2 linked regions of the Neurospora crassa OR74A genome follow. The protein of the gene in region 2 interacts with the protein of the main gene of each other region in a biochemical or structural test. Links are inferred from orthologs where the notes say so. Each region holds a gene or a part of one and is shown on either strand. Other genes may lie near its edges. The genes, in order: NCU03905 and NCU02357.

Region 1 (4,289 bases), on a different chromosome or scaffold from region 2:
GAGCAACTGCGCAATTTGTCCCTGTTGAACATGTTAATAAAAGTCACATTTTCGAGGCCTCTCTCGGTTTGGTCATACCAGATCTTGCTGCAATCAAGTTGCTCTCTGACTCCATCATCCGATGCGTTGACCTCATCGATCTGAGCGATGAGATCCTTCTTCGGTGGTTGTGATTCTGCTTCGGGTTGTGGTGGCAGCAACCCTGGAGCTGTTGGTGGCAGATTATACGGTGCCAGGAAATCCGCATCGAATGCATCATTGGTCAACCAATCGTCAAATCCATTGTTGAGGACATTGTTCTGAGGCTCTCGGTAATCTCCGAAGAGCTGCGGATCAAACTGGAAATTGTCTTGAGGCAACCAGTTGAGAGTGTTGTCAACACCAAAAGTATTAAAGTCTAGAAAGTGTTGGTAAATTCTGGCCTATACAATCAGAGCGAACATTGAAGACTGGTGAATGCTTACCTGGCTGCCCTGAACCAATGACGCCTGGTTGCTCTTCTCCGATTGTGGCCATCGTATCTACTGACTTCAATCCGACGGGCGAATGAGTTAGAGGCTCTGGGGAGGTGCCACACGACGAACTAGCGCCACCCATGTTCGAAGCGCAAGAGGACGGGGAACTCGTTGACGTGCCGGCCCCCGCATTGTACTGAGAATCTGTTCCCCTGGTCGAAAAGTTCGCTCCCTCACCTCTTGCGGACTGAGGTGTGAAGAGATCGGCCGAGTAATGGGCCAAGTCTTCCTTGGTTTGTGTATCAAGGCCTATTTGGCCGTAATTGGGTGTAGTACCGGTGCTGACGCCATTCGTGGGTTGCTCCAGCCGACCTGTTGAAGACAAAGGGGGCGACACAGGGGTTCCCTTCTTGGTTTGATTTGCAGATTGTGGTCCAGGAAGAGGACCGCCAAACTTGGGGAATTCAAACTGGAAATTGACATCATTGAGGTTGCTGACAAAGGAGTTGCCGAACGGCATAGCCCGAGGTGATACCATCGGGGGTCGAGCTGTCATCAACGATAGACGCTTCTTGTACTCGTTCAGTTCGTTACTCATCTTCTCCATTTTCTTGCGAAGAATCTCGTTCTCATGGTTGGCAGTCTCGGAGATCTTCTTCAACTCTTCGACCTTGGTTTCAAGGTCCTTCAAGTGCTTTTCTTTGCGTTCTCTGAACGCTCGTTGAGCTGCTCGATTCTGGGCCTTGCGTTTCTGTTATTGTCACGTTAGTAGTCAATCCTTACTGAGACTCGAAAGGATCAATCGACCGAGGCAGGCTTACCGAGCTGGGCTCAGTGGTAAGAGGCTTCCTGCCGGGCTTTTTGGCAACTTTTCCCTCGCCCTCTCTCCTCTTTGGTTCGCTATTCTCCTCCTCGTCGTCATCCGGATGACTGCGCTTGTCGGGGGACTCCACATCGGCGGAGCCCGACTTGGAATCACTTGGAGCATTGGACCGATCGTCCGTCATGTGGGATTGATCACCAGTGTCGAAGTTGAAATCGAAGTTGGGGTCATGTTGTCCATCAAGGCCGTAGTCGTAACCGAAATTCGGGGTGTGCTGGAAACCCATAGGGTCGAGTCCTTGGGCAGACGTTCCGTTGTACATTGCGGATAGACCAGAGAGGTCGGCTTGTGTGTTGATGGGCTTGTTGGAATTGAGGGCGGCAAACAACAGGCTTTGTTGCTGCGGGGTGAGGACGAGATTGTGAAGAGGGTTCTGAGTCGACGTCATTTTCGGTTGTCTTGTATTGGAGATGGTGACTAAGAGGTAGAGCAGTCGGTTGAATCGAGGAAAGACCTTGGATGTTGAAAGGATGGGATGAATTCACTCTCGTGATCTGATCGCTCCTAGCGGTCGGAGCCGCACAGGCGGCAATTGTCGAGTATCAAGACCGCGGGTCCAATGGCAATGTGTTTTAGCGGAGGTCCGGGGTACCGGGCCCAAGATGTACGTATGTCCTGGTCGAAAACTGATGTCGGGGTAGATCAGATGCTAGTACGGGTGACGATAGAAAATCTCTTGCGGAGACGATGACGTTTCGACAGCACCGTAGACTGACTTTGGATCAGACGGGGACGAGCCAGCGGCCACGCAACTAGCAGCTTGAAAGGCAGAAAACTCGTTGAGCGTTGCGGGCTAGGACGGAATACCAAACCGGGCAGTTCCAGTTCCTGTCCAGTTCTCTCCCGCTTCTCTAGTTTTCGAGACTCAAGTCTTCTCCCAAGGAAGACGTTCGGTGTGAGGTGATGGGGTTTGCCGGGGGTCAAAACGAGAGGAAGGCAGTAGGATAACTTGAACTGAGACAGAAGAGAGGGGACTTGGTCCGAGTGGCAAGTTACAAAAGACGCGGATGTATTTGCACGGAATAGGTAGAGGTACCAGGGCGAAGTTGTGGCAGAAGGTGTAGAGAAGGGGGGAGAAAATTGCGAGTGCCCGAGATGTGAGCCGGAAAGGTTAACTGCCTGCTGGAACAGAACTAACCGTTGGCCGAGCCGAGTGGGTGGGATGGCGGCGGACGCTGACTTGAATTGATGGGCAAACCTATCGGCCTGACACCTGACTCACCTGGCACTCAGCCTTTCGGAATCCTGTCAGCAATTGGGTTCAGGAAATAAGGTACACGTATGATCCCGCGGGGGCTCCTTTTCTGCGATTGGAGAGGCGACGGCACAGGCTGCAGAGCAGGTTTGTGTTTCGTTGGTTCGCTGATACGATTCAGATCTGAGAAGGGAAGGACTCTTGGGCGGTCTTTGGCGATGGAGGGGACGAGACTAAGCGAGACCGTCCAAAAGCGGGCGAAAAGAGTGGACGCTCTTCTTTGGTTACAGGGCCAAACTCGTAGAATGCGGGCTACACGGGGCACAATTGGGCGCATGGACGCTTGGGGGTGTCCAAGTGGAGCGTGGAGGGGTTTCAGTCCAAAGTCAATTTGTCAGCGAAAATCAGTCGAAGGGAACGTCTGGATCGTTCCTGGACGGTCGGGTCGGGTGCGCCGTGACCGGCTCTGGCAACTGTCAGCACACCTTGACATGCCGACGACACCCCGAGTCGATTCGTTCAACAAAAGGACTGACAGTGAGTTCTATCAGATGCAGACAATCAATCAAAATCAGTCGGACCGTTTCCACAAAAGGTACCTCTATGTCGGTATCTTTTCCTATAAGGGATTTCTCTTGTTTCATTGCGTCCCACTACGTAGAGGATCACATTGACCGATTTGACGTGAGTGGGCTTCAAGCAAGAGCTGCCAGTGTCAATCTCTTGAACCGTACAAAAAAAGCCACTTTTTGTTTGACCTACACGTGTATGTACTACAGTATGTAGTTCTAGTCGGAGCCTCTCGAGTGCAGCCCGTCCACTTTTCATCGACGTGGAAATACATCAGTTTCCGCGGGTACCCCAAGTGGAGATTCTTGCAGGCAAAACACCGGAGTGGATAATAAGTGGCCTTTGTTCGACGGTGAAAGAGATGCACTCTCCTCTATCTCCGCATCAACTTGAGTTTTACAAACCTTAACCACAAATAGTGTACACTACACGTGTACTGTGTCCAAGCAAACAACAGCCAGGGGCATTTGTTTGAAAAATGGGCGCACTCGGTGTCGTGATTATCACCGTCGCAATTAGCTCGAGTCTGGCATGCTGGTTTGCCACTGAGACCTGAGTTCGAGACCCAGTCTCCCCATTGAAGATCCCACGTTGTTTCCGTCTTCCTGTCGGCAGTTCAGACGCCTCGTCGATAGGAAGCCCGCATGGCTTATCTCCGAGTGGCTACAAAATATACAATTCTCAGCTTACGGACAACTTGCCATCTGGTTTGGATTACCTGGCCAGCCTGGAGCCTGGACACAAAATCAGGCCATGTTGGACACACATGAGCTTGTCCCGTAGTCAGCTTCGGCTGCCACGGCGGGGAATCTCGAAGAACAATGTCACCGATTCATGTGGTTACCGTTTAAAAGTCGGGTGTCGAGTCTTGAATTGTCTTTTGTACCGATGGGAAAAGGCCCGTGCTGCCAGGAATGTCCTCCCGGCGGTGGTTGCTGCTCGCTGCAGTGCTTGCATCCATTTCCCCACAGTGGATGCGGCACCATGACACGGGCAAGACGGCAGCGCTACAGCTGCGGCGGGGATTCAAGGGAAGGGATCGATCAGCCTCCCATGGATCGATCCACCAGAAAACTGACATCCTCGACTGTTGCGCCAAACAATCAACACTTCGGCTGCAACCGTGATCACAGCCAACGGCGTAAAGTCGGGATTCTTGGCAGTCTCTAATCCACTCCATACACGC
Region 2 (2,423 bases):
CACTACACCACATACACTACTACACTACTTCTAGTATAAGTACTGTCAGAAAAAAAAAAAAAAGAAAAGGCACATTGCGAACCCACAATGTCCACGACGGGGGGGCCCGACCACTTAGGTACCTAACCAATCGGTAGGTAAACCAAACAATGATAAACAAGTTGCTCCACCAAATGACGTCGATTGTCGCACTTTTTGATTATTTCTCAAATAGACTAGGTAGAGAAAGGTATAATAGCCTCACACCCCCCTGGATGGACACTTGCGTATTATAGTGTACAGTACTAGGGCAAGATGATGTTTTTGGAGTACACCTATCGGATGGCAATAGACCTCGAGTACATAACCTTGCCGGTAGCGTAATACAGACATATGTAGTGTACACACACAAACGTAGAAAACAGCCAAGGTACAGATAGTGTCAGAGGGATGATGATATGACCATGGCACACAATTGAAAGTTGTAGTGTCCTATGCACCCATTCCCGTTCAGAACGGGGGACCCGGACCCAAGGTTTGTAAAATTGGTGTGGCTGCTTTAGTTGGACCCCAAAGAAAAGACCCCTGATCAGCCTCCATCTGGGTATGTATCGAGGGTACCATGTAGACTACAATGCCATACTGCAGATACCCGCCGCTATCAGATGCTGGTGGTCCATCAACTCCATTGTATTCTACCTATTCAAGGACCCTCGAGTACCTGTGAGCTTTTCCAACCAAAGACGCAACACATGTGCTCATGTAGCAGTAGCAGAGATCCAACCCTCCGATCTCTCCTGTATCCCACCCAAACTACTGGTAAAAGGCAAGATTGGAACGATCCATGTTACTTAGGTATCCTAGTCATTTACAAGTGTTTATGTGATTTTATACGTGTGTGATAAATGGTTACGTGCGCCGAAGGAACGTTATGGTGTGCATGGTATCTCCATCAAATTCACATTTCCGCTTCGACTCCTCTCGCCTTCTTCCCTACATGACCAAGGCCATCAACAGCCTGATTGCGTGCTCAAGTATTTCTCCACGCTCTTACCATGATTTCCCTACCAGTTCCTGTCGATCCCTTCTGGTTCCATGCCATCTATATCCTGATTTCCAAGTAGATCACCATCTTCCTAAGTCGACGTTTTGCTTTTCCTTCTCCTACGTCCATCAGCGATGTCATCTCTCTTCCACAGCCACTACCTCCGACACTTCTTAACTGCTAAACCGCTCCCGAATCAACTGCTGAGATTCGGGGCCAAATTGCTGCAGTACGGGGTCGGGCGAAGTACCGGTTGCTTGCAACAGGCTCTTGACAGCGGCAATCACGCGCGCGAGGGTCTGTCCGCTCAAAACGTCCACCTCAAGCGCCTGTGCGACGTAGTAGAAAGCTTTAGCGGGTTGCGAAATAACGACAGGATGTTGCCTATTTGCGGGTCAGTCGTTTCCAGTTCGCCATGTCAGGACAAGAGACTTACTTTTCAATCAGCTGGGTCATGAAAGCATACGCATAGGGCGCCGCTTCCTCGTCGTTCAAGACCGGCAGAGTCTCAAACCACTGTGTCGCAACCTGGTCGGGGTTGGCGACTTGAGAAGAGTTGAAATGCAGAATCTTGGCGATGGCAGCGCAGGCATTCTCCGTAGCGTACACATTGTCCTCGTTGCGCGCATCTGGGATCTGCGTAGCCTTGAAGAGAACTTCGACGGCTTGGCCCACCAACGGCGCCCAAGCCTGGCCGCCATGGTGGGCAGCCACACCGATGCCATACGCAGCCGCTTGACGAATAGCGGGAGAGGCATCCTGGCAGCCGAGGAGCAGAGGCTCCGAGATATACTGGGCGTAGTGAATGCTCTCAGCACCACAGTATTCTAGAACATCATCCATAATGCACAGTCCCCACTGTCGCTGGGTGGTATCATTCGAGCTCAAGAAGCTGCTGTAGGTGGGAAGCAGGCGGCTCCAAGCGCTCAAGAAGCTTGCGCCGTGGTACTTGAAAACAGCATGGAACGCCTTGTTCATGTCCGAAAGGAGAGTCTGGTCATCCTCAATGGCCATCTGCATCTCTTCCGACTCGTCCTCGCCATCTTCACCTCCTTGCTCCTCCTCACGAGCGGCTGCCCGATCCTTGTAATCCTCAAGAGTGGAGTGGACACCGTCGATGAAGCGGCCCATGTGCGTCTCATCGAGGCAGGCAGTGCCGATGACCTCGATGGACTCATAGAAGCATTGATACATCTCCGCGAGCGTATCAATGGCAGGCTCGGCGCTAAGAACGTCGAGGAGCTGAACGACGGTGCTGGTCCACAAGCCCTTGAGCTCGTTGGAGCCGGGACCGTACTGCTTCTTGTATGAAATGAGCAATTGCGGAACTAGCTTCGCAGACATGTACCTGACAGGATCGTGGAAGAAGAAGGCCAGACCAGGAAGAGCAATCTTCTCC

What was found.
Region 1: the proteins of NCU02357 (region 2) and NCU03905 form a complex in vitro, tested with the Saccharomyces cerevisiae proteins (2 studies listed by BioGRID). The link is inferred for Neurospora crassa OR74A from reciprocal best matches to the Saccharomyces cerevisiae genes PSE1 and YAP1.

The regions. Positions count from the first base shown.
Region 1 is NC_026506.1:2,106,538-2,110,826, forward strand, and holds the start of NCU03905 (hypothetical protein), read right to left. Parts: upstream 2,801-4,289; 5' UTR 1,727-2,800; coding exon 1,277-1,726; intron 1,207-1,276; coding exon 465-1,206; intron 398-464; coding exon 79-397; intron 22-78; coding exon 1-21. UniProt on the Saccharomyces cerevisiae protein: Transcription activator involved in oxidative stress response and redox homeostasis.
Region 2 is NC_026507.1:2,762,048-2,764,470, reverse strand, and holds the end of NCU02357 (importin subunit beta-3), read right to left. Parts: coding exon 1,461-2,423; intron 1,409-1,460; coding exon 1,198-1,408; 3' UTR 807-1,197; downstream 1-806. UniProt on the Saccharomyces cerevisiae protein: Functions in nuclear protein import as nuclear transport receptor. Serves as receptor for classical and arginine/glycine-rich nuclear localization signals (cNLS and rg-NLS) in cargo substrates.